Schizosaccharomyces pombe: one gene and its partner. The gene in region 1 interacts genetically with each later gene. Each region holds a gene or a part of one and is shown on either strand. Other genes may lie near its edges.

Region 1 (7,844 bases):
GCGCACAAATCCACTTTTTAAAGAGCAATTTTATGGATCAGGACTTATGTTTGTTGGCCGTGACAATGTTGAGTATCGGGACATGAGTCTGGAAAACCTGACAAAAATGGGTGTGTCAGCAGCAAAGTTTCAAACTACAGAAGAATTGCGGAAACTTTTTCCAAAATGGATTGGCGAGCTGAATGATGGAGAAGCTGGGTATGCCAATTTTAGTTCTGGATGGGCCAACGCTGAGCAGTCTGTGAAATCCGTAGTTAATTACTTAGCACATGCCGGTGTTTCTTTCATTAGCGGACCTGAGGGAACTGTTGAAGAGCTTATAACAGAAGAAAACGTTGTTAAAGGCGTGAGGACTACTACTGGAGCTTACATGGCCGAAAAACTTATTTTTGCTACAGGTGCATGGACTGCATCTCTTTTACCTAATGACCACACACGATTCTTGGCAACCGGTCAACCAGTCGCATACATAAAATTGACTCCTGAGGAGTACATCCGCTTTTTGACAAATCCTGTATACTTAGATTTTGATACTGGATTTTATATTTTTCCCCCTACCCCCGATGGTTATCTAAAATTTGCACGCCATGGATACGGATTTACGAGAATGCAAAATCTTAAATCCGGAAAAGTCGAATCTGTTCCACCAAAGAAACCTCTCGTTTCTCCTATCCTGCCCAAGGAAGCGGAATTAGATTTACGCAGAAACCTTCAACGTACTTATGGCGAAGAAATTAGTCAAAGGCCATTTTACAAAACCCGTATTTGTTATTATACCGACACAGCCGATGCCGAGTTTGTATTTGATTATCATCCAGATTATGAAAATCTGTTTGTATGCACAGGTGGTTCAGGCCATGGATTCAAATTCTTTCCAATCCTCGGGAAGTATAGCATAGGGTGTATGTTTCGTGAGTTAGAGGAGCCCTTATTGAAGAAGTGGAGATGGAAGAAAGAAAATTTGGAGTTTGCTGCTTTAGACCACAGCCGAGCTGGACCCTCTCGACAAGAGCTAAGCTAAGATGTGCAATGCTAAACAAAAGAAAGGCTAGCGTCTATCTTTCTAGGCTACCTTATTTTTGTGTTGAATACTAATTGATTCTTCTTCATTCGAAATATTACGAGCATTGAATGTATACACATTAACAATTAACATCAACTTTATAACATCCAGACGATTATGTCGGTTTACTGTTTTCGAATAAAAACAGGGACATTTTCTATACCCTTTACATCGAACTTTATGTCCTGAATTAATATTACAAAGCATGCTAAGTAAAACCTTTTTTTCAATTATTTTAGATATGCATCATATAGCTAACTCGTTGGCTTTAAGAGAACTAAAGCGTCACAGCTTACTGAGGTTGTTTTTGATACTTAGATGCAATTCAAACATTTATAAATAATTAAATTTGACAATCTAATTAGAAATAACATAAAAAAAAAAATCAAAATAGAATAAAATGATCAAGAAGCTTTTTGTTTAAATGCAAATACCGTACTCGCTTTTATTCGTTGTATCGGTTAAACGACGTTTTACTGTTACGTTATCTGCCAATCTCGGATTTACGTAGCATCAAGTACGCATATCTTACCGCAATATTTAGAGGCGACTTAGTTTGTTAATATATTATATTTTTACACTAGTTATTGGAATGTTAACATTTTGAAGAGCAAGATCGTTTTATTTTCAAAAAGATTTTGCTGGATTCGTTGTTACGATTGACGTTCTAATCAACCCAACTTGAGTGTATGTTCATCAGGATCGGTATTTCCGTTTTCACTAGCGTTTTAGCCAGTATCCTGAATTTTTACCAGTTATAAATTGTATGAGGTTGAGAGTTTCTTATCCCTTTGCAACGTGTTTGTTTTTATCATTAGGAGTAGCGGTTTTTGAGACCTGAAAAGTGTGTTTGCTGTTTTTGCACATTTGTTCAAGTTCATGAGAGCTAACTACATTGTTTCAATATGTTACACATGAATAGTGCCAGTAGTGCTGACAGCATGGAAATTATGGAAAGTCATTTTGACCCGACACAACAGAATGATAGCACTATAATAGAAAGTCGTTACTCTCCGGAAGAATATCTGGAGCAGTCATTCGAGATACAAAGGATTATATCAGGAGAAAATAGTGAACCCCAAACTGTAGCGTCGCAAGAAATTAGCGATTCTCAAGAAGAAGACACTACATTAACATCGTCTCAATTTGAGGATTGTGGGACTGAATATAATGAAGTAGTGGAAGATGATGAGTTTCGCTCTGAAGATGAGGATGATTTTATGGACGAAGAGGAAGAATACGCTTTATATGAGGCAGAATTGAGTTCTTCCCCATCTATTCACGAAGAGGTTATTGATTGCAACTTTGTTCATGCCATTCGAGGCTTCGAAGCTACTGTTGAAGGACAAGTTGATGCTACTAAAGGAGACATGATGATTTTATTAGATGATTCTAATAGTTATTGGTGGCTTGTAAAAATGTGCAAAAATTTGGCTATAGGCTATTTACCTGCTGAATACATTGAAACTCCTTCAGAGCGTTTGGCTCGATTAAATAAATATAAAAATTCGGAAACGTCCAATTCTCAGCAGTCTGTGACTCTCCCGCCTTTAGATATTGTGGAAAAAACCTTGGAGGCTCCATCCCCAAATTTTCGTATAAAACGCGTTACCTTTACTTGTTCTTCTAATTCTTCCGATGATGAAATGGATTCTGAAAATGATTATGAGGCAATGGTAAACCGAACTGTCGCAGAGAATGGTCTTGAAATAGAATTTTCGGACAGTAGTGATTCTTCTCTCTCTGCTGAGTACCGTTCCGAATCCGAGGATCATGTAACTGATAGTCCTGCTTACGTGGATCTTACTGAACTGGAAGGTGGGTTTAACCAGTTTAACTCTACTTCTTTTCAAAGTACATCCCCCCTTGGTCTTGAGATTGTTGAAACAGAAATTAATGGCTCTTCCACTACTGCAGATTCGAAAAATTCACATTCCCCCTACTCTAAATTCTCATCAGCTTACCCAGATGCTGAAAATTCGAATATTAGTAAAATAAATATCTCAATAGCAGGAAACAAGGAATTATATGGCAATGCCACCCAGTCTGATCCTTCACTTTACAGTACTTGGATAGCAAATAAGCATAAAACTGCTTCATCTGCAACCGTTGATTCTCCATTGCGAAGATCACTATCAGTTGACGCAATGCAATCGAATGCTTCATTTTCTTCTTATTCGTCTACATCTAATACTGATAAATCATTGCGGCCTTCTTCTTATTCCGCCGTATCGGAATCCTCTAACTTTACTCATGATGTATCTCGTGATAACAAGGAAATCTCATTGAATGCACCAAAATCAATTATAGTTTCTCAGAGTGACTCTTTTGACACATCTAATGTTACTCAGGATGCCCCAAACGATGTAGAAAAGGAACCAATTTCTGGTCAAATGCCCAATAATTTATCAGTTCAATCCTTAAAACAATTAGAAGTGTACCCTATTCGACATTCGGTATCGATTGAAATGCCATCTGAAAAGCTTCTTTCCCCTCGATTATACTCTTCATCTACTCCATCCTCTCCAACAAAAGGATTCCAAAAGGATGACGAAGAAGACAGCGAAAACCGAAAGCAAGCAGATAAGGTTGAATTATCACCAAGTTCGCTTCTTCGTCAGATGTCTTTACCTGTTGATTCTTCCTCGCAAAGTGATGCACAGTGCACAACGTCTTCTGTATACATAACAGCGGAGCGTAAAGCATTTTCTCAATCTTCAATAGATTTATCAACATTGAGTAACCATCATGTAAATAACGAAATAAACAGAAGAAGTTTTGCGGGTGGATTTACAAGTTTAGCAGATGAATTAAGCGAAATGCGTGAGCTACTACACGAATCCCCGGCTCCATTGGAGTGTAATGAGGAAATGGTTATACCTACACCTGAGTTAGATGCTTCAAGTGCAATCCCGAGCTCTTCGATTTCACACGATGAGGATTTGCTACCAAGAAAGAACACAGAGGAATCTACCTCTTCTAGTTCCTTTTCCTCTCTTATCACTTCTCCTGCTTCTTTGCAATATGATGAAAATCCATTCAAGCAATCTGTGGTTGCGGAATTAAATAATAACTCCTCTTCGGTGCCATTCGTTGATTCGGCTCATGCTTCTGATATCCATGCGTACGATAACGACCACGTTAGTACTAAAAACAAAGAATTTAATCGTCGGTTGAGAGAGTTTATATTGGATCCAGACTCTCTTAGCGGGCTATATTGGAGTGTAAAATCAGCGGGAGTAAGGGCATCCCGCCGAGTTTCTCGTAATATCGAGGGTGAATCGGTGTCCTCGGACTTGGATGATATTTTTGCTAACGTATTGAAGGGTTTATCAGATGAGATGGCCTCCCTCTTAAATACGAATCGCTGAAATCTTTGATTAATTTAAAAGTTATACCATGTTTTTCCCCTTTATCAAACTATTTACACTCGTTATAAATCAGTTTTCTGTTTGATTAAACTGTTTCAAAAATTTGTTTGTTAATGTCTTTATGTTTGACTTTTTTTTCTTGTTAATAATATTTTTTAATAACTAACAGCATACCATAGTTGTATAAAGGTCTAAAATTCAATGTGCGGGTATGATTCGGATTATTGAGCGCTATAAAATAAATGTGTTTAAGTAAAATCTACCGAAGTATTAAATGAGCTAGTAATTATCTTATATGCCATTTCAAATTATAGTATCGCTGCATCATATTTTTTGTACAGTAATGCGAGCAGTGAAAATGTAAACTACTCAAGCAGATAGTAGTAGGCTTTGAGGGTATGATAGATTTTATGCATCCGTAAAAATAAGCCAGTGTACTTTACTTATGTGGCATGATGAATCAAATTCAATAGGGTATTAAAAAACAAAATTAGCACGATTTATAGCGATTCTTATTAAAAAATATTTCTCTTCTCTTTTAAACGAAAAAAATGAGATATTAACAAACGATGAACATGTTCATTAATCATTAATATGAGAATATCATCTGCTTCTACTTTTAAGGTATCGGATTCATCATCAAACCAACGGTGTATTTAAATGTATATTTTGTAAGCGATAGGCATATTGATTGTCTCATAATAAATAATTTATGTTTTTTCACTGGTAATTTTCACGCTAAATTAGATGATAATTAGCATCTTGACTACCAATTTCTCACCATCATCATAATTGAAGGGCGAAATTTTCAAATTTGACTTTTAATATTCTTTTAGTAATTGCACGAAGATATGTAAAGGAACATGGAAAAGTAAGAATGAACAATAAAATTTTTATTCCTTTACAAATTTACGACTTGTTATTAATTGGAAAGACAAAGCAATGTTATTTCTGTAACGAATTGAGTTTGTAGGAAGAAACAAAGTTCCTAAAAAGTATGCAAATATCTTCAATATGCGCTAAATAAAGAAAACAGTTCGTACAGTAAACAAAGTCAATAATTCGAAGCGACTAAATAACGAAAAATTTAGAATGAGACGGATATGAAATGCATTTTGAATTGACCCGTTTTCATTTGTACAACCACCATACATGATTATTCTCAACATTGTTTTTTATGAATGCGAAATAAGAAGTATTAGTTTAAAACATCAAGTAATTTTTTAACACGCCACCACGAGTGGACAATGTGAAGTTTACAACTTGTGCTAATTTTTTTGACTACTCAAAAAATTAAATATGCAGCACAAAACGAGAACTGAATTATATGCAAACCCTTATACACTGAGCCTTAAAATTCATGATTTTTTACTTGCAACAGAAAGTAATAAGTAGCTTAAAAAATTAGAGGAAATCTGTTAATCGTTACAGTGGATTCTCACATTAGACAATAACTACATTATTACGATAACAAATCATCGTTCTAAATCACAATATTTTATTATGCTGTTCATTATTTTGTAAACATTAATTTTGTTTGTATTAAAGTAAACCACTAAACCAAAGGAAAAAAATGATAATTAAGTTTGATTCATTAAGAATCAAGATGAAGAAGAAATGAATGCAATAAACGACAATGAAATTGTGAATTTAACAAGGCGAAACAACGAGTTTTTCGATTTCATTAGTTGATGATAACAGTCAATTAGTGAACTGCTATTTTAAAACGAATAAATAAAACCATTATTATAATATTCAATGCCCAGTGTATGTTATTCACGGAACCTTTCAAGCAATGCACTTGCTCATCCAATTCGTCAGGAAATGAAATATGCAATAAAAATACATGTGACATACTTTAAACAGATTTATGATTTGTTTGAGTAAATCACAATCATAAAGGCGCTTCTTTATTGCACATTCTTATGAAGAAAAGAAGCCTCGTGTAAAAAGCGACTTTATCATACAATTAGTAAAGTTAACAATATAATTAGGCTTCACTTTCGGGGTTCATCTCACGCAATGGAACAGCTGTGTATTCATTCACTTGCTGTTTGGCCTCATAACCTAATGATAATTAGCATACACAATTAAAAAGATATCATATTAAATTTACCCATCTTTCTGATCAAGTGTTGGATATGCCAACTGTAAACAATGATCACATCCAAGTTATTTTACAGCACTGGCAAGTTTCAACTTTCAATTGAGTAATTCCTTTCTTATTATTTACAATTCTTACCTGAATATGGAGGCAATGTACTTTCCTCCTCTGAATCATATTCTGGGAGGGGTCCTTTTTCCAAATCGATTTCATGATCTGTCTTCAATTCATCTTCTTCATCTAGAGGACTTTTCAAAGAAGTGTAATTATTCTTCATAATAATAAAATCATTCTTTATTTAATAAAATACATGCGCGAATTAATTGCTATGATTGCGACAAACCAAACAGCGAAATCAAGAATATTCACTTTGTAGTCCAATTCCAATCGCTTTAAAGACTTTTTAACAAAATAATAAAATCGTTCAAACAAATTTCCAACTAATTCCTTCAAACAATGGCATAAAAAAAGAAGAACGAAAAAACTGAACGAGGCAGTGAATTACTTCTGACACATTTATTTTGTCACTGCCCTTTTTATTCACCCCAACTTAGTTTTCCTTATACAGCATACTGTTAAAATTGGTTCGCTACGTTGCGTGTCACTAATTTCATATTTGTAAAATCATGTTTTTTAATATAGACATCAGTTAAGAACAAAGACTTAGAAGATTATAAATGGAATTAGTCGCTGCATCTCATTCCTCAGTTCAATTATTAGCTAAATCGGTGACTGATACTGTTAGGCGTCTTATAACAATAAATATAATATTGTCAGTTAACATAACGCACAACGCTATATGATTTATGTATCGCTAAAACAGATATCAAACGTCGTCGATGTCAACAGTATACGGTATACTTGAAATTTCGTTCCTACGTCTTATTTATGATGATACAAATGTAAATTTTTGAATTGTTGTGCTCAAGGATATAATAGAAATTTCTTTTTTAAAGCTTTATATGTAGAAAGATGATGTCTTTATTTTCTCATATTCATCTACTAATATGTTGCTCCCATTTTTTTTCATTATTCGTACTAAGGTGTTATGCAAACAGTATATGGTTGCAACGCATATGTATTAATTTTTAAGGAAGTTGCTCTTTGCATGAAATTTCCAATCTTTAGGGATCAAGTTCAATTATATAAACGCAAAATTCAACTTTAAATGATATGGAGAAGAGTGCAAGGCAATTATCAGTAGCCGAACAGAATGGTGAATCGGGAAGATTAAATAATGGATATACTTCAAACAATATTCAGCAGTATAAAGATGAAACTAATCGTCATCAGTTCGAGTATAACC
Region 2 (6,920 bases), on another chromosome or scaffold:
GCATTTCTATGAGATGTATTGAAAGCAAACAGAAAAACGCAATCTAAACACAGAATATATAAAACAATGAAAATCAAATCAATTTCACTTAACAAAATAGGATGCAGCTTTAAACGACGCTCAAAACTGATGCATTCACCAATACTGCACAAATTAAAAGAATACCTAGCTTCCTTTGGTTATCTGTGTAATTTTTGAATTATCCTATCGAATTTGCTATATGGAGTTGTTAATTGATGGGCAATATCTGGAATTTATGTTTCTCTATTCGTTCTTGACCACGCTATGTGGCTTTGCTTCTTAACTATGCAGTTTGTAACCAGTTTTAATGGCACGTTAAATCACAGTGAGTTGTATTTGTGCACTACTATATTGCGATATGCAGGTAACGCGAAAATCGGGTATTAAGGTGTTATTGTAAATTATTATTGAAATGCTCATAATATGTAAACTAAGGGAAAAAGGTTCGATTGAGCATTCTTTTTTGTTTGTACCTGTCAGTCATTTGGTAATAAGCTACAATAAGCAAGTGCCAATGTCGTATCACATATAGCGGATAAATGAATAGGACATGTGATATATAGTGATACGTAACGAAATTTTACATAACGTGGTGTAGTATTGCAGATATTGCTGAGATCAGGTGGTTCATCGTCTTAGCTCGCAATTCTAACTTATCAACTCCTTTGCTCATTTTGAAACTGGAGACTTGGCTTTTCCTTACATAAATCGCATAGAACGTGAATTGCTTAGGAGTTCGAGCTTTTTATTTACTTCCATTCTATAGTGGAACATTTGGCATAGAATTTTTATTTTTGGAATCACGACTGTGGAGTTTTCGTCATACCAGTTCTGTCATCTTGAAATTCCAAGTTGGAACTTCCATCAATAGATTACATTTCTAAGTTTCTTGCTTTCATTCCTCAATTTTTTATTTAGAAGCGAAGCAAAAAATAAATTTAATCTTCCTACGTTCATATCCGCTTCTTTTTCAATTTCTTTGATACTGTTCGCGATACGTAGCTGCTGATTTTACGTTATTTTTTTGTTTTATCTTTTTCTTTATATATTTATCTTTTTTGTTATATATTCACTTAGTTGCTTTAATTGCTGGTTATTTAAAGATGATTGCTGCAACACCCGCTAAATCCAAACCATCGGATGTCAACTTGGAACAGACGTTCAAAGGTGTTTCTGAAACCTCAAAAATTGACCTTCGAAGGTCTAGGGCCGCTTACCGACCTCTGGAATTATCTCCTACTCCCTCGATTTTTGCTCGTAATTATCAACGTAATGCGGTAGACTTTACTGGATTTTTTGTGTTATTTTGGGTTGCTGTCTCTATTATGATTTTCATGAGCTTTTTAGAAAATTTCGAATTGACTGGAAGACCAGTTGTTGGCACTATTTTTAAATACTTTCAGTCTAATTTGTTAGATCTGGCAAAGGCAGACCTTGCTATGTCTTCAATGTTTCTACTTGCTTTTCCTTTCCAAAAGATTTTTGCTTTGGGATATCTGCGGTGGTATGGTTTAGGCGTTTACCTCTATTCCATTCTTATTTTACTTTTTTTAAGCCATTGTGTTTTACGCTGCTGTCTTAGCAACTGGTCCTGGACGCATCGTGCTATGTTTATTCTTCATTCTATGGTAATCCTTATGAAGCTTCATTCCTATAACGTTGTCAACGGTTGGTATTCTTATTGTTATCATTCGTTAAATAAGCTTCAGTCAAAAAAAACCGATCTTGATGATGATGAACGATCCTCAGTTGAGTTTTATGAACATTGTCTCAACCATCATGGTAATACTTATCCGGAAAATTTAACCATACCAAATGCTTTGGATTTCCTTTTCATGCCCAGCTTATGTTATCAATTATACTACCCAAGAACCGCCCATGTGCGAATTCATTATTTGATTGAATGCGCTTTGGGAACGTTTGGTTGTATCTTTCTTTTGGTCATTATTTCTGATCATTTCATGGTTCCTGTACTTGCTAAAGCCATTCGAACCATTATTGAAGCTCCTGAAGACGCATCTGCTACTTATTTTGCTATACGTTTAGGCCATACTGTAGCATTTTTGATGTTCCCATTTATGCTTAGCTTCCTCCTCGTGTTCTGGGTCATTTTTGAAGGAGTTTGTAATTTCAGCGCAGAGATTACTAGATTTGCCGATAGAAACTTTTATGATGATTGGTGGAATTGCTGGACTTGGGATCAATTTGCCCGAACCTGGAATAAGCCCGTTCATTACTTTCTCCTTCGCCACGTTTATGTTCCCCTCAACTCTTTCATGTCAAAGTCTTTATCGACTTTTTTCACGTTCTTTGTCTCCTCTGTATTACATGAACTTGTTATGGGATGTATCACTTTAAAAATCCGCGGTTACGGTTTGTTTTTTCAAATGACTCAAATCCCGTATATCATTATTCAGCGACAGAAGTTTGTTCGAAGACATAGACTGCTGGGAAATATTGCGTTTTGGTTTTCTATCATAATTGGTATCGCTCTTATTGCAGCTCTTTATATCTTATTTTAGAAGCGATAGGGGTCTCCATTATGAATAATTACCTCTTAGATTTTTTTTACAATGCGTTATTTTTTCTAGTGACTATTTCTATCTTTGACACTTTTTGTGGCTCATTTCATCTGCCCAATAAGGGCTCCTTTATGACATTTTATGAATTGTTTTGTAATGCAAGTAGGAAATGCCATTTCTATTTGAACACGTCAAAAGGCTGCAGAGTAATTTTGGTAAAACTTAGTTTTTGTGCCTCTGTGGAACTTCCGTTTCATTTTGTGTCGGTTCATTTGCTTGTTTATGATAAAATGGAATCCTGATTAAATTAACGAATTAAAGAAATGGGTTTAAAACATTTTTTTCGTTGAAAATTATGTTAACCGATTTGTTGTTTACTTAAGATTTTTAACATTCACAGATGTTCGTTTAATTTTTAGCCAGATGATTGCTTTGATTAATAAGTTTCCTCATCTCGTATTTTCATTAACATAACCATCACTGTTATTAATCGAATTAATGTGTCTAATCGTCAGTGGTTAGGATATTCGATTTATTCAGTTTTCCCATTCTTAATAAATGTACTTTTCTGTCTTGCACAATAAAATTATTATAGCAAGAAACCTAGATAACGCAACCCAATGTGCAATAGCACTGTACAGTAAATTGCCTATAAGCAGGGGTAGATATTTTTACCACTGGAATCCCAACTCACCAAGAACCCATATCTTGTAGTTCGAAGTTTGATTCGGAAAAACCTCTTGTGTATTTCAAGGTGCTCTTTCTCAAAACGAAATCGCAAGGGTATCGTTTGGGTGCAATACGGGATGATGGTAATAGAGAACCCTTTTTTAAGTACTGCTACAAGCAGTCAGACACCTCAAGAGGATGGCGTGTACACGTCTTCCCTGCACAACAGTAACAATCCTTTTTTAGCTCCCAAGACAGAGCGTGTGGCTGATCCGGTCATGGAATCTATGGCAGATGACTTGGTATGTAAATTTTTGAGGCTGAAGTAGATATAATTCGGTCATTGCTTCGTTACGTGAAGATTTGTTAAATTTATTGAAACCTTTCCAAATTAGTGTTCTATTAAGAGTTTTTAAGTTTCTAATTTAAAGCGCTCATAACGTACATTTTATTTAGACAAGGAGTTTCTTCGGTTTGCAATGAAGTTGAGCCGAAAATCGAGCACAGCTTTCAATTTTAATATGTTTCAAAAACTAACATTTTACCAGTTTAATAGTATTCAAAAGAAGAAGGAGCCATCTCCTGCTTCCTCTGCTTCAGCAAGTCCCGTTAAAAAATCTGCGGAGGCATTAGCCGAACGATCTAACAGTTCGATGGGCACTTTTGACCCCCCTCCAAGATATTCGAAAATTGCTAGAGCTCGTAGTACTCATGTTGCCAGCTCTAGTCGCCATCGTTCTCCATCGCATAACGACAGTTCACCATCCACCCAATCCAGTTTGAAAAGCAGGGGTAGCATTCGACGCTACAAGTCTGTACGAGAGGGATCACATCGTCCTGGTCGGTCGTCAAAAGAACCATTAGATCAGATAGATCGTTTGGACGTAACAGGGCTTTATGGATCTGGTAGCTTTCATCACGATGGTCCTTTTGATGCTTGTCGACCTCATCGTAATCGAAATTCTAAGAAAGCACCTGTTGCCGCATTTCCAAAAGATAGTATTGCTAATTCCATTCCGAAAGTTGGGGAAACTTATAATGACCCTTCAGTCCCTAAGGATTTTAGCAGAAAAGCCATTCATGAGAGTTTGCGTACAAAAAACATATTGCAATCTCCTTATAAATCTGTTGGCATCGAAGAAGAATTTCCTTCATCTGGCAATAATGATACTCCAGGTTTAACTGACTCTACCCGTATAGAAGGTGCGATGGCTTCAAAAAATGCAATTGCACGTAATGAAGAAATGTTGGCAATGGAAAAAGCGGGCTTGGGAAGAAAAAATTCTCTCATTCGAAAACTTGGATTAAATCGTAGCGCTAGTATGATGTCTCGTACACCAAATACTTTGAATAGGCCATCTAATTATCGGTCTCACTCTTCCATGGGAACCCGAAGATCTCCACTTAATTCCCCTTCTCAACTTGACCCCATTTCTAACGAGAACGAATCTGATACTGATGACAGTAACACTGGCCTTCGTAATCGTACATCTCCTACAGCTGCTCCACCGCCACCTTCTCGTAGGAAAACAGGTGGACTTAATACACGACCTTATCCCCAACACGCTGAATCTCAAATGTCTCTTCCGCTTACTGCGAAAGAGCGTTCCAAACCCAAGAAAATGGGATTTTTTAGACGATTATTCCACAAAAAGTCGTAGGCTTTTCAGGCTTGAAACTTTATTTACTATAATAGCATCTTTGAGTATCATCTTTCTCTATTCCCCTTTTTATTTGTTTACCAATTTCTCAACATCTAATACGTCTGTACCCCTGCTTTTAAATATTGAATCAGCTTAGTTCAATTCTTCGTCCAGTTTGTTGGAAGTTTCTGCTTTAATCTTCCGCATACTTATTATTACCATTCTTTGTTTTTGTCCTAATATTTCGCATCTTGTCCTTTTCTCTTTTGCTTCTTCTCGACATTCACTAGTTCGTCTGAAGTCTACATTTTTCATGCCTACTTGTTCTGCATAACTTTAACAAATCCAGATGCTTTTCTTTTACATTTTCCTTCTTTCGAAATTTTTTCACCTGGTGATATTTTGATTGCTCTCTACTTTAAGTAATTTAATCATGATCTCTATTTTTTCTACAATGCAGTCTTCGTTCATTTACAATCTAGTTTCACTAAGTGAATTGGCAGTAGATATATAGAAGCGTACTCTGCATGTTATAGGTAGCTGATGTTAGTTCCAGGAATGTAAAATCGTTATAGGAATTTGTATTGATAAAATTCTATCTTGTTAGCGTGTGAACTTAAACAATGATTGGATTACATACCTTGGTTTAAAAAATGCTGAGAAACAAACTTCAAGGGTATAATCAATTTTCAGCTGATCTTTTAAATTAACAGAACGGCAAAATTCAGGTATTTTGATTTGTGCGTGGATTGTGTTTTTTAGAGTCGGTGCCAAATTGGAATAAACAGATTTATTAGCAATTTTCCAAGTTGATTTTGCCCTTGTTTTCGTCTTAGTTTTTTGATAACGCTTCAAGTATCCGCAACTCGCGAATGTTTCTTCGGCCTGGTTCATACAATAACCACCGTAATGATTTTGAGTATTAGGGTGAAAGATATGAGTTTCCAGCAATCGTGCTTTTATATTATGAATCTTTTGAGAGTTAGCGATTAACTGTTATCTTTAGTTTAATTAATTTACTAGACTTTACCCTTCTGTGATGATTATGAGTGTAGCAAATGGTAAAATCGATGATTTGACCACTAAAAAACAAGGATCTGTCCGTATGAACCTCCAAGGTAGTTTTTGCTTCTTCTAATGAAAGATAGGGTAGGCTTTTAATGCATGAGATCGGGTTATATAGCTCCGCTATATTATTATGCATTGAAGTGATTACCCGTTTAGGAATTGTACAACGAGTACAGCGAATATTTTGATCCAGAGATGTTAAAGTCAGCGTACTAAGATGTCAGTTACTTTTTTCGGTTTAATCTTTTACCTTGAAATATAGTATAACAGTTCTAATTTCGATGAATGATAAGTACCTGGACCTATATCCAAAGGAACGATGAAGGAGAAAGGAAACCCAACTTTACAAGAACATTTAAGGAAAAGGCCCTTGTTGCCTATGCTGGCAGAAGCTGCCTTTGAGAGAATCAGTGCAGATGTCTTAAGGTTGCAAAACGAGTACTTTTCAGAGATAGAATAGAAAGGTTCTGAATGGCCTTTAAAATTCAAAATACCATAGAAATCGAGAAACATTTCCTTTATCCAAACACCGGTTTCCACGTTTTTTGCCCCTTCGTAGGATAACCAAATGTTGCCATGTAACAAGGATCCAGCTATTAAGGAAGTATCAGGAATCGTTATTGCTACTTTTATACCATCACAATTTAAAACTTGGTTTTCAAAGATTTTTTTTACTTGTAAATTAGATTTTCGAACTGGTGCATCAGCTTCAGGATAAAAAGACGATTTCCTATTCAGAATATTCGGTCGTAACACATCAGTTTTGATGGTTAATATTTCTGACTCTTCACTTAATATATAGGGATCATCAAAAGGATTTTCTATACTTGACAATGTTTTAGATGTCAATGGATCCGACAAACTGCAAGTTTCACTGTTACTAAAAAGTTCTTCTGTCATTAGCACGATATTAGGTTGTTATCAAAATGAATGTATATTTTTATTTATTGGAAATAGTTGTTGGAGAAATCTTAAACTGATATTTGCCAATGAGGTT

Evidence for each region.
Region 2: mutations in tea4 (region 1) and pal1 are lethal when combined (synthetic lethality), as found in Schizosaccharomyces pombe (one study listed by BioGRID).

What each region holds. Positions count from the first base shown.
Region 1 is NC_003423.3:586,761-594,604, forward strand, and holds tea4 (tip elongation aberrant protein Tea4), read left to right. Parts: upstream 1-1,598; 5' UTR 1,599-1,968; coding exon 1,969-4,434; 3' UTR 4,435-4,674; downstream 4,675-7,844. Other genes in the region: fap1 (L-pipecolate oxidase), read left to right, coding at 1-1,021; dynamin-like GTPase fzo1, read left to right, coding at 7,712-7,844. UniProt on the Schizosaccharomyces pombe protein: Cell polarity factor essential for the bipolar localization and function of structures containing the cell-end marker tea1 during the normal cell cycle.
Region 2 is NC_003421.2:2,394,578-2,401,497, reverse strand, and holds pal1 (protein Pal1), read left to right. Parts: upstream 1-3,238; 5' UTR 3,239-3,349; coding exon 3,350-3,514; intron 3,515-3,760; coding exon 3,761-4,873; 3' UTR 4,874-5,302; downstream 5,303-6,920. Other genes in the region: acyl-coA-sterol acyltransferase Are2, read left to right, coding at 1,125-2,543; arrestin family membrane adaptor Mug170, read right to left, coding at 5,402-5,450, 5,496-5,827, 5,886-6,135, 6,174-6,823. UniProt on the Schizosaccharomyces pombe protein: Involved in cellular morphogenesis and cell wall integrity. Important for the maintenance of a cylindrical cell shape.